2 linked regions of the Nothobranchius furzeri genome follow. The protein of the gene in region 1 purifies or fractionates together with the protein of each later gene. This does not show direct contact. Links are inferred from orthologs where the notes say so. Each region holds a gene or a part of one and is shown in the gene's direction. Other genes may lie near its edges. The genes, in order: dtl and cops6.

Region 1 (16,580 bases):
ATGACAATCTATAAAATAAATTAGCATATAACCAACTATGGACTAATAATATTGATGCTTCCATACCCGAGCCTGAAGATATCAGCTAGTTTTAGAAAGGCTGAGTTGATTAGGATGGGAAAGGGGTACTTCTGGAAGAGTTTGGGGAACAACACCACCGCTTCACACTGCTCTCCTGGCTTCCCTGACCGCAGTCCTGAAATTATAAACAATGCTCTAGTCACAAAATAAGACGGACAAACCTCCAATAACTGATCGAATTTGAACAAAAAAAAAATCGAATAAACACATAAAACAGCACCACAGTACAATTAGCATTATGCTAACTGGTTAGCACCTTTGTCCAGCTCCATAAGAGCGGAATTAGCGTCTAGTTCTTGCTCCCCATAACAAGCCTCCGATAGAAATGATCGCGCTGTTGAAAGTGACATTTTTTAAAATTTCGGTTAATATTTGAGGTATAATAAATGACTATTCCTATTATCTTCTCAACGCTCAGGCGATGCTAAGTAGCATTGTTGTGTTACAGTAACACTATATCCGGTCTGGTGCTTTTCAAAGAAAATTTTCACATGACACAACTCACAAATGCTTGATTTATTTCAAAAGATAAAAATCTTGAATTAAATTAGGTTATCTATTTACCGTGGTGTAAATAAATAGATTGCATTAAAAAAGAGTTTCTGCAGTTATTTCAAATAGAGAGAATGTTTTCTCGACTGATACAGATCATTATTTGTGGTTTATTTAAAAATGCTATTATTTAACCATATGTGTTTCTATACTTTTTCATGGCTAGTAAAAAGCTCTGCTTGGTCGTCGATGACTCCATCTCAGTGATCTTCGTGTATTTTTTTATGCTGTCGTTCGCATGTTTGTTTTTGTTTACGTGCCTGCGTGGTTCTTTTATTTTGAAGGATTTTCCCCTGAAAGGAAGCAGAAGCGGAAACGATCCCGTTAAGGAAGTCGACCTTTGAACCGCGGCACCAACGTGCCAATAGAAGTTGAATAAAACGCTTCGCGCGTAATTTGGTTCTTCCCCTTAGTTGATCAATACGCGGGAAATATAATCAGCAGCTACAGACAAGAGGAGACCCCCAGTTCACGATCTGACCAACTTCTAAGTGTTTCTTTCAGATCGTCTCTGTACTGGATGATGGGAGTGCTTTTCCGTTCTGTTGTTGACAGAGAAGTGGGTCGACGGAGGCAAAATGGTGAGCCACGATGCGCTTAGGGGACTTTGAGATCTGTAACTGCTGGTAGCTTTTAGCTTGATAGGGAAAAAAAATCAACCTTTGTGTTTGGCATAGAAAAATCTATATAGCTGTTTAATCTTAGATGGCTGTCTCGTTCTGGTTCTTTATCTTTGAGAGAAGAAATGTTCAAAAAGCCAACTGAAATCAGCATATGACGTAAATGCTACGTCATCCTGCGGTTTCTTTAGTATTTTCAAACATTTTATGCCAGCACAATTTAATAATTATTCCCTAACTAAACTTTTATTTAGCTGAGCTTTAACATTATCTGTGATCACCATCAAAATAACCAGCAAAGAGTGAAATAGCTAAAAATCCTTTTTTTGTGTTTCTTTGTGTTCGTTCTCGGTGTTTTTTATGTTTATGCATTATACTATTATACAAGGCGACTTACAGAGGTGAAATAGCAAGGTGTGTGAAGTGTGCTGCCTAAAGGCAGTTTGGAGTGAGCAGGAATCAAACCGGTACCACTCCCATTGCAGATCTTTTTGATCACTGCATTTATATACGTTGGCTTTTCACATACCTTAAAAGGGCAGGTACAGCCTTTAGCTCCAGGTATGGATGTAATTTTCACTTTAGAAGTGGGGGGATCTTTACAGTATGCTCTAATGGGAAACAGGCTTCAACACAAACGGTTGTTTTCCGCTTAGTCCTAGAGCTCAACCAGTGTCAATTTAATATAGCGTAATATTGTTTTTGGATGGTAAAAAGTGCAGGGGTCAAAACTTGACATGTCCCCCCCCCCAAAAAAAAAATTACGTCCATGGCTCCAGGCTCCCTCTCTCATACAATAAACAAATAAAAAGGGTACAAACAGAAAAATTTAACTACATTTCTGAGGAATATACAGTCCAAAGTTCATTTAGGAGTCAGCGTTCATGAATCCGATTGCTCTGATTTACCATGGTTTCCATCTGTGCAGCTCTCCATGCAGACTCCTGCTCCAGAATCCCCCTCAGCTTCCTGCTGGGAGGCTACCAGTGTGCCCGACAAGATGAGCACATCTCTTATGGGAACATGGGCGACTCCATGCCACCGTTTGGATTGACCTTCTCCTCCAGTAATCTATTTGCATGATGTGAAAATACTGGAATACGGCAATGTTCCCTTATTTTTAAAACTAAATGCATCTCCTTTTAGGTGCTGAGCTGCAAAATATTCTTGCAGCAGCGAATGAAGAAGGGATTGTTCGGATCTACAACACAGAGAGCCAGGAAAACCCTCTTCTTAAAGGTACTTGAACATCGCTCCATAATTACTTCTGTGTGTGTACAGATGATGTTTTCTAACTGAATGTGAACTTTACAGAATGGCTAGCTCATGAGAATGCTGTCTTTGACATTGCATGGGTGCCAGGAGAGCCTCAGCTGGTATAAATGCTATAATTTCAACTACTTATTCAAGCTCTGTGTAACAGAACTTAGTTTTTTTTAAAATAATTTATTCTAATACCAGTGAATCTTTTTCTAACATGTTCTGCCTTCATCAGGTGACTGCTGCTGGTGACCAGATGGCCAGGCTGTGGGATGTGAAGTCTGGGGAGCTTTTAGGGAGTTTCAAAGGTCACCTCTGCAGCCTCAAGTCTGTTGCATTTGCTCCGGGGGAAAAAGGTAGATTTTACACAAATGCTGCGCTGTGGTGTTGAGTCCAGCTCTGGGCTGCTTTCACGTTTCTGTGGATCATTCTGAAGAAATGTATGCATAATGTTTTAGAATGAATTCATTTTATAGTTGTTGTTTTGTTTCTGATATCAGAAAAATCAGACTCCAGGAGTAAATATTTACCTGTCACCTTTTCAGCGTTTAATCTTGACGGTCATTGTTATTAAACGAGATGAGCTGAAAATATTAAAGAAAGAAAGAAAATGATCTTTTCTATAGCGCCTCTCAAGATAAAATCACGATTTTAGAAAATAATTAAAAATGTGTTTTGAATAAGCAAAAAACGACAACTGTGATGAGAGAGAGAGAGAGAGAGAGAGAGAGAGAGAGAGAGAGAGAGAGAGAGAGAGAGAGAGAGAGAGAGAGAGAGAGAGAGAGAGAGAGAGAGAGAGAGAGAGAGAGAGAGAGAGAGAGAGAGAGAGAGAGAGAGAGAGAGAGAGAGAGAGAGAGAGAGAGAGAGAGAGAGAGAGAGAGAGAGAGAGAGAGAGAGAGAGAGAGAGAGAGAGAGAGAGAGAGAGAGAGAGAGAGAGAGAGAGAGAGAGAGAGAGAGAGAGAGAGAGAGAGAGAGAGAGAGAGAGAGAGAGAGAGAGAGAGAGAGAGAGAGAGAGATGTGTGTCATGTTACCATGGAAACCACTCTGTAGGTGATGCAGAAAGGGCTTGTCCTGAATTGTCTATACATCAACTTTGCACTGATCATTTCAGGTGTATCACATTCTTCGCTTTAGTTGAGGAAAATATTTATTCAAAATAAATGAGTGTGTGTGTGTGTGTGTGTGTGGGGGGGGGGGGGCAAATTAAATGGCCCAAGATCTGTTGCATAATTTTATTTTATTGTTGTTTTTAAACATTAATTGTCAACAACAGATGGTGCAATCTACAGCTCACTACTGTGAAAAAGCATGTCTGAAAATGAAGCCGAGACTTCATCAGTGTTGTCGTGGTAGTAGTATACATTCCAGCATCATCTCCTGCTCACTCTGCATGTGATGTCATCAGCACAGTTGTTGCTACGTTACAGACATAACCCCCAAAAGCATCTGTGGTATTATCTGGATATTTTCACCATGCTTCTCTCTGCTGCACTGCCAAGATTTCAGCAGCATGTCCGCTTCTCCACCAGAGGAAAAAAACCCGCTGGATTTGCTATTTGCCAACGTCGAGGATGCATCCAGCTCCTGGCATCGTGGATCCTTATCTTGTCTTTCTCTGCCCTTTGTGCAACACCCCTTGTCTAGAGTCAACCTGTGACCAGAGGAACTGTGAGGAGATGATCACAGGGAGATTTTGAGGATTATATGGCACTTCTCAAGAAAAAAAATCACAAGATTAAAAAAATCATAAAATTAGGAGAAGTACAAAGTTTGTGATGAAAAAATGTGAGGAAAAGGAAAACGAATAAGTAAGTGATCAGTGGATCCCGGGAAAGGCAGAATTGATGGAGCTGAATGAGGAGAAGGTAGTGATGAAGAATCAACCAAAGGTCAAGAACAGTGAGGTGCCACCCCAACAACAAACCCTGGGTCAAATGTGAACTGAAAGAACTCTAAAAGAAGAACCTTAAGGGAGGGAGACATGGAATCATTGTGGAGTAAAGAGTAAATCAAAGTGTAGATATGAATTGATGAGGAGTTCCCAAGCTGAAGCTTGAATGAACTTGGCTCGTTCTTTAAAAGCTTCAGTTCAGCGCTCTCCTCTCTGGTCCCCAGCCAAACGCATCTACTGTCCCTTCGTCCAGATTCCCAACACACCTCAACCGTTTTATCTTCCAGCTGCTGCGGTTTCCTCATCATTGTCAACCACATCAGGAAAGGCTCCGTTTGCCTCCTTCCTGGCACCTGTCTGTCTTCTGCAGTTCGATGAAGAGGCAAATGGAGACACTAAACTTGATTAAAGCTGCATAACCAGATGGTTTCAAATCCAAAGTCCTCAAGGAACGGCCGAAGCACCTATGTGGGATTGGTCAACCTTAGCCTGACCCAGGTGAAGGTTCCATTGCTCTGGAAGAAGCCCTGCCTAAGAAATCTCCATCTGTTGCAGTAACATCATACATCATTATCATCATGCAGCTGTAGTTGAAGACATCATCACACACTTCCAACGATCAAAGCGAGTGGCACTGTGGGTTATGTTCTTTGACTTTTCCAGAACACAATCCAGGCTGATTTTAATATGAAAGAAACTTGAGAAGACACAGTTGGACACCTCCACAACCCCTGGATCAGTGACTACAGACCTTGGTGTGAGACCGAAATGTTGTCTGAACGAGTTGTCGGGAGCACCCAGGGGGACTCTGCTCCTCATTTGTTGAAGTTGTTTTGAAGAACTGGGAATATGTCAATAATCCCAGCTGTACTGGGCATTGCACTGGTCTGTCGTGGTAAAGAGAGAGCTGAGCCGCAAAGCAAAGCTCCCGGTTTACCGCTCAGTCTTGTTTATGTTTACGTATTTAGCAGACACCTTTTGTCCAAAGTGACTTACAAGCGATAATGAAGCCAGCAGGTTGCCCTTGAGGCTAACAATAAATACTAATCAATCAATCCTAGGTGGCAGTGAGACAGCATAATGAATCACAAAGGGAAGTGAATAAGGATGGACAGTAGAGTGGAGGACGGGTGTTGGGAGGGTGCTAGTTTGGAAGATGTTCTCAGAAAATCTGGATCTTCAGGAATTTCTTTAAAACCAAAAGGATTGTTCTGGTAGTGCTTGGCAGGGCATTCCACATCTGTGGAACGACACATGAAGAGTCTGGATTGTCCTGAGCGTGACGACCATTCGATGACCAGAGCAGCCGGGCCACGACGTACACCTTTATAAGAGGATTCTAGTAGATGGGAGCCGTACCATCCAGGACTTCGTATGCTACCGTTAGCAATTTGAATCTGATGTGTGCAGCTAACGGTAGCCAATGGAGGGGTGACGTGCTCTTCAAGCTTTGGGTAGTGACCAAAAGAACGAGATTGTGGATACAAGTGGCCAAACTGAGTTTTCTCTGCACGGTGTCTGGGCTCTCTTAGAGATGGGGCGAGAAGCTTGGTTTACCGGGAGGGGCTCGGAGTAGAGCCACTGCTCCTCCACATCAAGAGAAGCCAGTTGAGATACATTTTAGCTCATCACCACCAGTGTGTGAATTGATGAATGTTACACTGTAATGTAAAGCACTTTTAATTCCTCTGACTCTGAAAGGCGCTCTACAAGTGCGGGTCATTTATCGTGTCTCTCGGCTGGCCAGGGAATGTCGTGGGATTCCTCGGAGGAGCTGGCCCAAGTGGCTGGGGAGAGGGAAGTCTGGACGTCTCTGCTCAGGCTGCTGCCCCCATGACCCGACCACGGATAAGCAAAAGATGATGGATGTATTATGTCAAACCCTGGTTCCATTGTGGAAGAAGATATGGAGGGATATTGGTGTTCTACTGAACAGCAATTTCTATTGGAGACTCAACAGCAAAGCTGTAAGAAAGGGCAGAGCAGGCGCGACATCTTTAGTATTTGCAGAAAGATATGTTCTCAGTGGTCTAGTGGAAGAGTGTCCTCCCTGGAACTGGGAGATTGCGGTTCAAATCCCGGTCTGGTCATACAAACGCCTCCCTGCTAAGGGGTTGGATTGGGGGTTAAACCACCAAATAGTTCCTGAGCGCAGCCACCGCTGCAGCTCACCACATCCCATGGGATGGGTCAAATGCGGAGATGAATTTCACCAGTGTGTGAGGACCAATGAGGCTTTAACTTTGAAGGTCTGTCGTGTAGCGCGTAATCTCCTCTATTATCCATTCATGTAGCTTCTTGGTGACCGATAACATCCATGCCTTTTCGTCACTTATTTCAAATACAAAGATAACGTCTACAGATGGAAATGCGGAGGTGTCCTGGTTCTTTTCTTTGTGGCTATTGTCTACGTGTAGGAAGTGGAGAGTAGCATGAATGTTCTACACCGGCGAAACCGCAGCTACACAAAAGGATGGCCTATTGCAGAAGAGCCAACTCATCAGGTCAAGACTCAGCAGTTTACCTACATCAAGGACAGACATTAGTGTAGAGTGTCTAGAGCTGATTGGACAAAAGAAGACAGATCACAAAGTGAAGGACATGAAGGATCCTCTTCGCAAGTCTTTCAGTAAAATTGTGTCTTCAGTTGGTGATTCCCTCAGATTCGTTACAGAAGATCTTGTGAAGAAACGTCGATAGTTCCTACAACATCCAATAATTGTTGCATTTTCTTCTGACAAACAGCTGTTTTCTGCACTGGAGGAAGAGATGGAAATATTATGGTCTGGGACATAAGGTGCAGCCAAAAAGGTTAGGAACTTCTGCTGCAAATGCTTCAGTTGTTGGCAAGTAAATGCATTTGGGTGATTAATGTTCTTGGTGTGTTTCTCGTGATTTGTGTCTCGTTCTCAGATGGCTTTTACAAGCAGGTCAAACAGATCAGCGGCGCTCACAACAAAGCAGAGTTGCATCCTCCTCCTAAGTGGAAGAAGAGACGGAGCAGCATACGTGGGATGGCTCCGAGTGTGGTGAGTTTCTGAATTATCTTTTTTTTCCCTGGTACGACAAAAATCTCTTATCTTTGTTTTCCCAGGATACTCAGCAGAGTGTGACTGTGGTTTTGTTTCGGGATCAACACACACTCATCTCTTCAGGAGCTGTTGATGGGTAAACGCACAACTCTTCAGCTCGTCAAAATAAAATTGACCATAAAAATGACCCCACCCACCCTTTCAGAGTAATAAAAATGTGGGATCTGAGGAAGAGCTACAGCCCATGTCGCCACGATCCCGTTCCTCTGCAGACTTATCCATACTCTGGCACCTGCACACGCATGCGTCTGGGTCGGTCCTGCTCTGTAAAGATCAACATATTAATAATATATAAATATATATCCAAAAGACTCCAAATGAACTGAAATTAATGTTGCAGGTTATTCCGGACTCGTTCTGGACTCCTCGAGATCCAACGTCATGTGCAATTGCACAGATGACAACATCTACATGTTTAACGTGTGTGGGATTAAAACATCACCAGGTAACAAGGACAGGTTTTATATCTTTGGCACAGAGACCGTTTTCTCCTTACTGCTTTTAAATCACTAGATGGTGCTAAGGGTTTGTGCTTTTACTTTGGCGGGGAGCAGAGCACCAGAAGGGAGAAGTTGAGATGCTTTTTAGTTGTTTTTTTTTTTGGAAACTTAAATCTTCAGATCTTGTCACAACAAGAAAGAAAAGAAAGAAAGAAAAAATATCATTTCTATAGCGCCTCTCAAGATAAAAATCACGAGGAGCTTCACAAAAACCAATAACAAAAAATATAAAAATTGTAAAAATATAAAAAAGCATTTCAAAAATGTTCAAAAATATATTTAAAATGAGCAAGAATAAGCAATTGCGATTTAAAAGAAAAAATGTTAAGAAAGAGAGAGAGAGTGAACAGGAAAGAGGGAAATCAGTGGATCCTGAGGAAGGTGGAATAGATGGGGAGAGCAGAATAAAGAGAGAGTGGTGAAGAAGGTCATACAAAAGCCAGCTTGAACAAGTGAGTCTTCAGCTGCTTTTTGAAGGAGTCCACTGAGTCCACTGATCTCAGGCTCAGGGGGAGAGAGTTCCAGAGTCTGGGGGCCACAGCAGCAAATGATCTGTCACCTTTGGTCTTTAGCCTGGTGCTGCACAACCAGTAGGCTTTGATCACTGGACCTCAGGGACCTGCTGGGGGTGTAGGGACTAAGAAGATCATCAATGTAAGATGGTGCTTGTCCATGTAAGGCCCTATAGACCAGAACCAGGATCTTGAAATGAACCCCGAAGTTGACTGGCAGCCAGTGAAGCTGGAGGAGAAGCGGAGTGATGTGGGTGTGTTTGGAGGACATGGTCAGAAGCCGAGCACAGGCATTCTGAACCAGCTGTAGACGGTTCAGGGAGGTTCTGCTCAGACACGTGAAAAGAGAGTTAAAGTAGTCTAAGTGTGAGGAGATGAAGGTGTGGATAACTGTCTCAAGTTCAGAGGAGGACAGAATGGGACTCAGCTTAGCAATGTTCCTGAGATGGAAGAAGGAAGAGCGAACAAGAGAACTGACATGAGAATCCAGGGTGAGAGCTGGGTCAAAGGTCACGCCAAGATTCCTGACGGAACGTTTGGTGTGAGAAGCAAGCTGACCAAGAGAGTCTCTGACTTTGGGAACCAGCTTGTCTGGGGCACAGATGAGGTTCTCAGTCTTATCTTCATTCAGCTGAAGAAAGCTTCCAGCCATCCAGGTTTTCGTAGAGTCTAAGCAGGTGTGTAACAGCTGCAGCTTAGACATCTCATGGGGCTTAAAGGAGATGTACAGTTGGATGTCATCTGCATAAAGATGGTAGGAGATTACTTTGAAGGAGCTCAGGATGCGCTGAAGAGGAAGCAGATAGAGGAGGAAGAGCAGAGGCCCCAGCACAGAACCTTGTGGGACACCATGGGTAAGAGAGGTGGTGGAGGACCTAAACTTGGAGACGGCCACAGAAAAGGAGCGCTCAGAGAGATAAGAGGAGAACCACTCCAGAGCAGATCCTGATAGGCCTACCCAGTCTCTCAGCCTCTCCAGTAGCAGGTGATGGTCAACAGTGTCAAAGGCTGCAGTCAGGTCCAGCAGGACCAGAACAGAACAGTCCCCTGCATTTATAACAAATAAATAAATTTAATAAAATAATAAAAAAATTAATAAAATGTTCTCTTACATTTGTCTGATTGGCGGAGGGCCAATAACATGCTTCGGACCAAAAGCAACCATAGGACCATCCAGTTGTCAGAACCACCACACTTTCCTGGGTTCTCCATTCTTTACGCACTGACGTATTTAGCAACAGAACACCACTGGTGTGAGAGGTTCTCCACTCAATAATATCAGAAAAGGAGAAACAGCCGGCTGCTACCACTTCAACTTTTAGACAATCTACCAAAGTTCTGAAAATATAAACACCATTTGAAATCACAGACAACAAAAGACGTTTGGACCTAGAAAACAGCGACTGGTGTTTAGCAATATCTCGTTTTGTCCATCGTAGTGGGTTTCCAGTTCCAGCAGAAGAGCCTTAGGGAAGATACTCGAGGGGAGGGATGAGTGTTTCGTGACTGTGTTTGAGGTTGAAGCCTAGCTTGTTGTGTAGATTTGTTATAGCGGCTTTAATGCCTGAAGTTCTGAATCACGTTTGCTCACACAGTGGCAGTTTTCAGTGGACACCAGAACTCCTCGTTTTATGTGAAGTCCACCATCAGCCCCAACGACCAGTTCCTGGCCAGTGGCTCGAGTGACAACAACGTTCACATCTGGAAGGTACCGCCTTACGCCAGCGCCTAAATCTTTTTTTTTTTTTTCTCTCCTCGTGTTGATTCTATCAAAGAGCAGAGCATAAAAACTACTTGATAACATTTCAGATTTCTGATCCTCAACGTCCTCCCATGACGCTTCAGGGTCACAGCGAGGAAGTGACATCTGTCGCTTGGTGTCCAACGGATTTTGCCAAAGTATGTTTTTAAACCTCAGGGTGATGAACCAGAATGTAATGTTTTAATACAAAATTTCTTAACCAAGAATGTTTATTTTTTCACATTTGAACTGTTTTGATTGATTATTTTTATGTTTTAAAAAGTTACTTTTTTTACCCCCTCTGCTCTGTTGACAGATTGCTTCCTGCTCCGATGATCACACTGTCCGGATATGGAGACTTCACAGGGAAACTGATGATCCACAGTCATCGGTGGGGGAGGCCAACCTTGTAGGCTGGGCACGACCTAAACTTCCCACCAGTACGTACTTGTTGTTTATCTGTGGCGACCATATTGAATTAGTTCTAGATGAAAATCCAGTTATCACTTTCTGAGCAACACCGGCAAAAACATTAAAGCTGCACTACATGATTGAGTAGGCTAATGGTTTGAGCTGAACTGGTGTGACTTTTGCTGTTCAGGTCTTTCACTCAGACCTGAAACGACGCCTTTGAAAGACTGGGAAGTGAGGAGTCTTTCTGGTCTCCCCTCACCTCTGCTTGCTGCCTGTGCCCCCAGTGGAGCCGATCTGCCTCTCCCCTCCAACACCACATCACCCATCCGTTCTAAGCCGCCTGCTGCTCATCACAGAGCGTCCTCCATTGAAAAGTGGCTTTCTCCAACCCACGAGTCTCCAGGTCAGGTCCCTTTTCTTCCTTCAAGCCCAGAGAGTAGCACCTCTTCAGATCAGCCCCGAACCAAACGGAAGCTGGAAACCGATGAACAGTCATCTCAGCACTGTGAGGACGCCAACCAGCGTGACTGTGAAACTGGACTCTACCCCACGGCCAAGAGAAGCCGCGTCCAGTCTGAAGTCTGTCGCCCAGTTCAGGAGAACTCAGGACAAACAGACTGTCGCACAGATAAAGGCAAACAAGATTCCTTCAGACAGGCTGGAAAGGAGAACCGCTTTCCCAGAGCGACTAACTGGCTGTCAGAAATGAGCCAAAAGATGAAGAATAGTCCTGAAAGTCCTGCTGCTCTCAGGAAGCCCAGTTACTTTAAAAGACCAGATGGAAAAGCACAGACTTCACCAGTAAGTCCACGGCTCCCTGGTTTAGGAGCAGATTCACCTTTTTACACAAATGATCAGCATGTCCGCCTTTTACTTCAACTGTAGTTCCACGAAAATAGAATTATTTGCATTCACGACTTTTTCTGTTTGTCGGGGGGAAAAAATCATGTTTTTGTGTTTTTAATCTAAAGATTTAAACTCTTATAACGAGTATCATGCCTGACTTTTCCTCTTTTGTTGTTCCAGATTCGAGTTGACTCGAGTTGGTTAAAGACCATGAAGAAAATCTCTGTGTATTTTGAAAAAAGGAGTCTGAATGAGAGCTGAACGAGGGAAGGATTTAGCTTAGGGGATATTTCAAACCAAGTTTGCACAGCCTAAGAAGCATGTTTGATTTTGTTTAGATATTTAGAAATTAGCGTTTTAAAAATATTTTTATGATTGTTGTTTTAACTGAACTTAGGTTGTGATGTTGCCTGTTACCCAATTTTCTGGTTCTTCACAGAAATTCTGTTTCTATGTTCATATGTAAATCTACCAATTTACTTCAATTTAAAAACATCAATAGATGCTTTAGGTTTTGATAAAAGGTCAGATTTTTTGTAACATTTAACTGTGGGTGAGGGTTATCTTTTTGTTTCATTTATATAATATAGCCCATGTGCTGACTTGCATTTAAAAACAAATTAATCAAAAATCAGCTCTATAGTTAAAAAAATGTCTTAATTTTTGTTATATTTCTCATACATGGATTTCTTGTTTGTATTTCATTCATTTTATGCAGACATTTTTATTTAAATTTTTTTTGCTCTTGAGGACATGTGCCTGTTTAGCTGTTTACATGTACAAATAAGAAAAAAATGTATTTGTATTTTATCATCACACGTTTGTTGGATTCAAATGTTCATATATTAAACTTGTTTCAAATGTTGGTGTTTAATTTTATATTTTGTTTATTAAAAGGTGGTGGGACATTTTATTGTTTTAAACTCATATATTATATATTTTTAAAATATATAAATATCGATGAATGATAAATTATTAATATAATATATATATATATATATATATATATATATATATATATATATATATTTTTTTTTTTTTTTCACTTATTTGGTAATTCTATCTGACGTTTCGAACTGTTTTCATTCTTCTGATTGGTTAAAAAAGTAAGTCTCAACTTCTGATTGGCTGTCAGAAACGTCAAACGTAAACCTGTCGTCAGTCCACCGACTGCACAGGCGGAAAACACGGGAGCGTTCATGGCTGCCTGATCGACTCAGTTGTGTGTGGGGGGTATTTTTTTTCGTCTTTTTCGAGGCCGTGAAACCGGAACCGACGCTCTTCAGTCCGCGAGGAATGCAGCAAAGCAAACAGTCGCTTTAAGCGGGTAACTTTAGGCTAAACGAGTCGGTGAAGCAAGAATAGCTCTTAGCGACACTCGGCGGAAGTCTGAAGGATTAAATCCGGGGCTTGAAGTGGAGTTGGGGGTTTAAAACTGCGCTTTTTGCTACTTTACGCCAATTTCAGAAAACTTTTTTCAGATGGCAATATATCATGCATGTTTTGCAACAGGTAGACCCATCGCAAACATGATGAAACACAAACATTTGGCCGCTTAGTAGTGTTACGCGGTTAACTTTGGATCGTAGAGCTTTCGGTGTGTTGATCTGGCTTTTCTTTGATATTTAGTTTGCGTTTAAAACTGGTTACAATTGAGACACCTCAATTATGCAGGTTATGCAGGTGAACGACTCGGTCTAGCCCCGGAGTGCGCACCGAAAATGTTGGATGAGACGGACACTTCGCTCCAGAATCTGATGCTGATGTGAAGAGGAGGCGGAAACCCCCACGATCACCTAACCTACGATCAGCTCCTCGTCTGCGATCATCTTCGTGAGTTTATGCACCAAAATGTCGGCCATCACTGCATCCGAGAAGGTGGATGGCTTCACGAGGAAGTCCATGAGGAAGGCGCAGAAACAGAGAAAATCCCAGGGCTCGTCCCAGTACCGAAGTCAGAGCTCCGTGGTGGAGCTCTCCCCGCTGCCGCAGCTCAAAGGTACGGTGAGAGGGTGCAGGTCTGCCGCTTTAATGGTCCCGAGTGCCTGCTCTCTCTGTGCAAACTACATAGTTCTGTTTTTCTTGGCTAAAGTCTTAATCTTGTGGGTGCAAATCTAATGTTCAACATTTTACAGAATATTTAGAGTTTTCTGTGGCCACGTTTGTCATTTGTAATTGTATTTTATGTTACTTGGAGTTATTTCAGAAAGGCATGGGTCTGATCATAATGAGTGAGTTCACATTTGGGCTGTGCCGATTCTGGATTTAAAGGCCAATACCGAGCTCTGATTTTACTGCAGCACTGTCCTGATTTACCTCAAGGAACTAAAATAAACAGAATCTCTTCCACTTGGAAGATTTGATCACAGATTTCAGTCGTTGTTGATTAGCTCAGGAGGTAGAGCGGGTTGCCTAGTGATCAGAAGACTGCAGGATCGATCACGGGTCCTGTCAGGGTATTCTGCTGTTGTCTTTCTGGGCAAGACCCTTAACTTGCCTATGTTGGTGATAGTCAGAGGAGCTGCAGTCTTGCCTCTGTTAGACCACCACAAGGCAGCTGTGGCTACATAGTAGCTTACCATCATTGGCAGAGTCAGTGTTTGAGTGTGTGAATAATAGAAAGCACTGAGTGCCTAGATTATTGGCCAATTCTGATCACTGGTCAATTTGATTTTGGTGCACAACGTGCTTTTACTCATCAAGATGATCTATCTGAAAGTTTCCATTTAAATCATAACAATTCAAAGGGAGATGCAGCATCTAGAGCAGGGGTACTCGAATATAAGTGGCCAAGGGCCTCACTAAAGAATTCCTATGATGTTGAGGGCCATACCGGGAGGGAAGGAGGGGTAGTGGTGGTGGTCCAGGTACCACAAAGAGGTGGGGTTCACGGGCCGGACCTGGCCCACGAGCCGCCTATTGGGTAGGCTGCTACATGGCTATGTGTTGCAGGTAGAAACTATAGAAACAGACACACCAGGTTGTTCATTTGTGTGTGTAATTTCACATGTTTTCATAAACACTGGTGTTATGCATTTTAAAGGTCTCGTTGACTGGGAAACATTGTAATGATTCTTTTTGTAATAAAATCGCTCATTCTCAGTTGAATAAGCATGCTAAACATGAAAATGTTCAACTTTCATCACTTGCGTTAGCCGCAGAAAGGAAATGGATGGGGAAACCATCAAGCCAGTCTCTTCTACGTTACAGGGAAGACTTGTTTTCCCGGTCTACGGTATTGATTTTGTTACCAGAGTGCGTCTTTACTAGTAGAAGCTAACCATTAGCATTAGCAACTCCACAACACGGAGGAGCAAGTTTAGGCTTGTTAGTTGTGGAGATGAAATTAACGAATTTTTTTACACAAGGAAAAACACTGCAAATGAAGGCAGTGAAAGTGTTGTTTTGCTGTTAGCCAGTCAGGAAGAGATATCTGATTCAAATTCTATTCAATTCAAAAATACTTTATTAATCCCAGAGGGAAATAGATTTGATTGATGTCCTGTCATTTTCTGCCCTCCCACCCAAAGCAAATTCATTTAAAAAAAGAGAACATGAGAACTTTAAAGTGTATCTCAACTACAATTCTTTTATTATTTTTTTCGCGCCACTCTCCTGACAGGTCGTTTTGCTTCATTCTTGGACAGTGATCTGTGTTTGAGATTCGCTACAATATGTTGACAGACACGTATGTTTGTTTTAGCTGTTTGTCTTTGCAAGTGCATCAATAACGTGACAAATCGAAGCATGCATGCTGATACCAGACACCTTTGTCGCGTCTGTCGGTTAGCTTCCTCTAGCGTCTAGTCACACCAGTCCTGCTGTTGACTACATATATTTGTTTCAATCAACATTGAGGGTTTTTACACCGTTTGCTTTTGTCACTATACCACTGAAGAGCAGCAGGTTGTACACAAGTCTTGCCTTGAAGAGGATTGGAGATGATCCACCGTAGTCAGAGCTATAATTTAGCGAGTTTCTCTCCACTTTAAGTTTGACAAGCTGCAACAGCTTGAGAAATATTTTGATGCTGAAGGGGCCGAGCAAAGCTGGAGTGAAGGGAACTTGTTCTGTCAGGTTGCTGACGCTTTCTAACATGACTCAACTATCGAGGTTTTGAAAAACCAAACGTGTCTCAAAGAATTTTGTGTTTTGATTTTCTGCTGTCGTGCGTGAAAGAACGTCTGCAATGTGGTTGCATGATTAAAAGAGGAAATTAGCACTGAACTTGAAATGGGAGCGATGATTTAAAAAAAAAACTCAAAAGGTTTTACGTGACCTACCTTTGGAAATGAAAGGAAGTTGGTTTTCAGAGTCAGTTTCTGCTCGTTAAGCAACAATAGACAGCTGCAGCTTATTTATTTTTATTTATTTAACCCTCATTTAGCCCGATGAGCCGATTGAGAACACATTCTCATTTACGACGATGATCTGGCCAAGAGGCAGCAGCAACAGACTCATAGTTAGCTTTACATAAAGAAAAACATAGAAGATAAAAATTAGATGAAACAGACATAAAGACAAAGGACTGTTATTCAATTCAAATTCAATTCAAAAATACTTTATTAATCCCAGAGGGAAATTGATTATGAGCTTGACCATCCCTTATTGCAGTCATAATTGGAAAAAGGTCCTCCGATGAGAAGCGAAACGTCTTAAAGAAACCAAAGAAGTCTAGTTGCCTTCATTCGAACCCTTATGGATCGGTTTTGATGTATTTATTGGTAATTATTCAGCAAACAGGTTTTGCAGCGTTTTGTTTTTCTCCTTAAGTTGATTGTGAACAACTCTCCCAAATCTTACTTTTATGTTTAAAAGCCAGTTTAAAATTTTCATAAAGCGTTAAACTTTTAATAAAACCACTACAAGGAGCTCTGTCGGTCGATCTACGTCCCAACCCTCACGAGCTTTGGGTAATGACCGAATGAATGAGATTGTGGATACAAGCGGCCAAAATTAGTTTTCTTTGCAGGGTGTCTGAGAAGCTCGGTCATCCGGGAGGGGCTCGGTCCACTGCTCCACCACATCGAGAGGAACCAGTTGAGGTGGCTCTGGCATCTGGTTTGAAAAA
Region 2 (4,053 bases), on another chromosome or scaffold:
AGGCCATCTGTAACTGGTATCCTTGTCGTCCCGTAATTCCTATTTCAAGAAATTTCAGCCGTGAGAGCCCTTCTACCCCCGAGAGACCATCCTTGGCTGCACAATTTCGAAGCCCATTAGCTGTTATACGAAAAGTGTCACGCAACTCCAGTTGACTTAGCCTCTGCCACGATGTTAGACTCTGCAGATGCTGGTCTGTGAAAGAGGGCACATTGTTGAGGATTAACTTCTCAATACAAACTCCCAGAGGAGAGCCAAGCCCTGTTCCTTTCTGATCCCTTCCTTGATGAGGAGCACTAGAAGTGGCTTCTGCTTTGCCAGGGGGATGAGTGGCTGAATTAGAAGAGCTTTGGTTGAAAAAACCCCGAGGCAACTCACAACCACGCAGCTCCAGCACTCTCAAAGTTCGAGGGAAAACCAGGCAGTTAGGTAGACTTCTCAGGTCTGTATGCAGAAGGTAGAGCTTACTCAGACGGGGACATCTTGTGGACAAAGCTTTGAGCCAAGACTCAGAGAGAAAGGTGCCGCCTCGGGCTGACAGCAGCAAACCTCGCAAGCGAAGGCATCTTAGTCCACAACCAAGGTACTGACGCAGCAGGACCCAAAGGATGCGGGATGTCACCTGACACAGTGGATAGTGTGTGTGTGTGTGTGTGTGTGTGTGTGTGTGTGTGTGTGTGTGTGTGTGTGTGTGTGTGTGATGGGGAAAAGGAGAAAATAACTGTTAATAACTATGCAAACAAACACATTTTTCTTTAGGTTAAAATACACACGTATCACTGACTGGTTCATTATGGGTAAATAAGTTGATTTTATTCATGAGAAAGTTCCTCTTTTACTTTGGTGTTGCATCTAAAACCATCAAGTGACTTTACAAACGCAAAACTTTGTGTTTACCGTTTCTGTACATATTTATGAAAAAGCGTATAATTTAGTCATTCAGACAAAACATTAAAAATAACTTCCTTCTGACACAGGTGTTACTGGAACAGATATTTTATGTCTAAAACCTAATGCAACATTGTTTGTAACTCGCAGGTGTTACTTTATTGTGATTATTTTCATAAAGAATAAACATCAGATAAATAAAACGTTAAAGCCACACAGTGTGCTGACAATTCTTACCCCCTTCCATGAGGTCAAGTCGACAGTTTTCCACAGTCTTTGGTCTTTAACAAGGCGTTTCCATCTTTTGCACACCCTAAAAAAAAGAGGAAAACAATGGCAGCAACACAGAGCAAACTCACTTACACCACCGGATGAGTCATAACAAAGAAAAAGCCTGGCGCTGAGTTTTTGGCATACAAGCAAAATTTCAGCTGGAATACAGGTCTTACCTTCCAGCTCTGACAAGCTCTTTGACGCTCAGGTATGACAAAACATCTATCAAAATGTTCTCGGGAAAGTAGTCCAGATTACAGGCTTTAAATTCGTCCATTTCGTTAAAAAAAAAAAAAAAAAACTCGTAAAGCTTCCACACGGACTAATATCCTGACGCACACGGGTTGCGCCCAAATCAGTAATCCCCAGGAAACGGCTACTCGTTGACTGTATGATGCTGTATGACCTAGACGTTGGATTAAAGAACATACAATATTATAAATTCCTTCGGATAGTTGTGTCTCCGTCGATATTTTCTTTCTTTTGATAACACTTGACAAATTTCTGACAAAGGTCGAGCTCCACACCTTGTTTTGAAACAGCCTGAAATGCAGTTTGTTGCCACCTAACGTTCGTTAGCTGAACAGCCCTCCTGCGCCTGCGCGTTGAATAGATGTTGCACCGAATTGTGTGACCATGGTATATTGTGACTCCAGGAGGCGCTGTTGCCTCACACACCGGACAAGATGGCGACCAGCGATGGTGGAGGAATGGAAGTGGATGGGGCAGGCGAGTATTTATTTCTTATTTCACCATTTAAGTCTGACATCAGCATAGATGGATGTACGATTCCCTTACATGCTGTACAGTTTGGGTGTGAATGACCCCAAGTTAAGACTTAGTGTCATTAAAGGCTGCTGCTGACATAAGTGGGTTAACGTGCACTGCTCAGTCTGTAGTCATGACTCTGGATGTTACCGTCGCTCCTTTTCTGTTCTTTGACTGGAGTCTGGATGACTTGTGTGAATATAAATTTATATACACTAATTGTTTTTTGAAAATACTATTTTATGTATTCTGTTCAAATTACAGCACAGCATATTAGAGGAGCACACGAGGGACGTTGTGTACACCTGATTTCCATTGCTCTGTCACGTCATTTTGGCAAAAACAAACTACAGTTCAGTTGCTTCCCTTATTTTCGCCCACCTATGGCTTCACTACTAAGTTTATTTCAATTCGGCTTTGTTATTTCTGTGTGATGATGCAAACCTAACTCTAACCAGTTATATTTATCCTGGCTGCTGCCTAGCTTGGCCAGGTCTCCCTTGAAAAAGAGGTTGTTAATCTCAGTGGGATCTTCTTGGTTCAATAAATACATCAAACATTGGCCATATAAACAAAAACATCTGCTTGTTTATTGTTGTTTGTCTGGGTTGGTATCTGGGTATGATATTGCTGTGGTTAATGTGATTGACACTTTCTCAGCATCTAAAAAAAACTGATTCACCCATAGTGCTGCAGCAGTTAGCGCCATACCACAGAGACAACTCTTTAAAAGGAGAATTGAGAGCATTACATTTAATTAGTCCAATTTCTGATTTAGTGGAGACATCCTTCAGCTGATTATCTGATAAATGAGACATACGAGGGATTCTTTGGGATCTGCCTTATTGGAGTTAAAATATTATTTTTATACATAATAAAACTTCAAATATTTGCTGTTTGTTAAAATGCAACCTCCTTTTTCCCAAAACCAGTCATTTGTTTTACAGTTTTTGTTTGTTTTCGAGTAAAGAGCTTTATGTTACATGTTGCTGGTGTCCAGTTAAAGCTTATTTTACATCTGTGTCCACGTGTCTGTAGTGGGCCCTAGTGTCATGGCCTCGGGAGTCACCGGGAGCGTTTCTGTGGCCTTGCACCCTCTGGTCATCCTCAACATATCAGACCACTGGATACGCATCCGCTCCCAGGAAGGGCGACCGATGCAGGGTATGTGTCTCTTTCTCACCTGTTTGTTCTTAAAGAAAAAAAAACTGCTTCCAGGGAGAAACAAACCCTGCAGTTATCAAAGCTTTGACTTAGATTCTCTGTAATTAAAATGCAGTAACGTTTAATGCCATAATAATAAGTGTTGTTCATCATGTGTTCTCCTTTCAGTGATCGGGGCTCTGATCGGAAAACAGGAGGGTAGAAACATCGAGGTGATGAACTCCTTTGAACTTATGTCTCACACCATAGATGACAAAGTGCACATTGACAAGGAGTACTACTACACCAAGGAGGAACAGTGTAAGCATGTTTAAACATAACACGTTTGACAGGTGTAAAGTGTTCTTATGGGGTGATTTTAATAAGACAATAATGAAATGTGTTCAGTTTTAAACTTTGTAAATCAAGTTCCTCTTCTTTTTTTTTTTTTCAAAATGATTGTTAACTTTCATTTTGTCTTTCAGTTAAACAGGTCTTCAAAGAAATGGAGTTTTTGGGCTGGTACACCACAGGTGGCCCCCCCGACCAGTCAGACATCCACATTCACAAACAGGTAGAAACACTCTGACGTCCGTGTGATCTTAGCTGGAAGGAGATAAAAGACAAAGTTAAAAAATGACCATAAAAGCAAACATGACCTCGTTCAGCAGTGTGAAACTTTATTTTTTCCAAAAATTGTCTTAAAATCCTTCAAATTGTGGCTTGAGTTATGTTCAGTTCTATTCAGTTTATCTATATAGCAAAAAATCATGACATGAGTTGTCTCTCAAGCCCACACTGTAAACATTTCAATAATAATAATAATACATTTTATTTCAAGCGCCTTTCAAAGCTCTCAAGGTCACTGTACAAGACAAAATATAACAAGCAAGCAATACAAACAACAAGAAATAAATGCTAAGAGTAATTCCCAAGGGTAGAGTCGGAGCAGTGCAATGGATAATAGACTAAAAAGAGTAG

The links.
Region 2: the proteins of dtl (region 1) and cops6 purify together in Homo sapiens (affinity purification with mass spectrometry; 4 studies listed by BioGRID and IntAct, with this or other methods). This does not show direct contact. The link is inferred for Nothobranchius furzeri from reciprocal best matches to the Homo sapiens genes DTL and COPS6.

The regions. Positions count from the first base shown.
Region 1 is NC_091742.1:7,890,618-7,907,197, forward strand, and holds dtl (denticleless protein homolog), read left to right. Parts: upstream 1-943; 5' UTR 944-1,153; coding exon 1,154-1,214; intron 1,215-2,181; coding exon 2,182-2,319; intron 2,320-2,399; coding exon 2,400-2,492; intron 2,493-2,567; coding exon 2,568-2,629; intron 2,630-2,748; coding exon 2,749-2,869; intron 2,870-7,149; coding exon 7,150-7,215; intron 7,216-7,317; coding exon 7,318-7,433; intron 7,434-7,498; coding exon 7,499-7,572; intron 7,573-7,641; coding exon 7,642-7,748; intron 7,749-7,836; coding exon 7,837-7,941; intron 7,942-10,103; coding exon 10,104-10,216; intron 10,217-10,317; coding exon 10,318-10,407; intron 10,408-10,565; coding exon 10,566-10,689; intron 10,690-10,850; coding exon 10,851-11,464; intron 11,465-11,689; coding exon 11,690-11,770; 3' UTR 11,771-12,372; downstream 12,373-16,580. Other genes in the region: ints7 (integrator complex subunit 7), read right to left, coding at 67-196, 338-431; ppp2r5a (serine/threonine-protein phosphatase 2A 56 kDa regulatory subunit alpha isoform), read left to right, coding at 13,361-13,508. UniProt on the Homo sapiens protein: Substrate-specific adapter of a DCX (DDB1-CUL4-X-box) E3 ubiquitin-protein ligase complex required for cell cycle control, DNA damage response and translesion DNA synthesis.
Region 2 is NC_091741.1:79,987,571-79,991,623, reverse strand, and holds the start of cops6 (COP9 signalosome complex subunit 6), read left to right. Parts: upstream 1-1,253; 5' UTR 1,254-1,337; coding exon of another isoform or gene 1,338-1,438; exon of another isoform or gene 1,439-1,741; intron 1,742-1,817; 5' UTR 1,818-1,847; coding exon 1,848-1,890; intron 1,891-2,967; coding exon 2,968-3,093; intron 3,094-3,261; coding exon 3,262-3,393; intron 3,394-3,557; coding exon 3,558-3,646; intron 3,647-4,053. Other genes in the region: F-box/LRR-repeat protein 12, read right to left, coding at 1-622, 1,126-1,201, 1,338-1,438. UniProt on the Homo sapiens protein: Component of the COP9 signalosome complex (CSN), a complex involved in various cellular and developmental processes.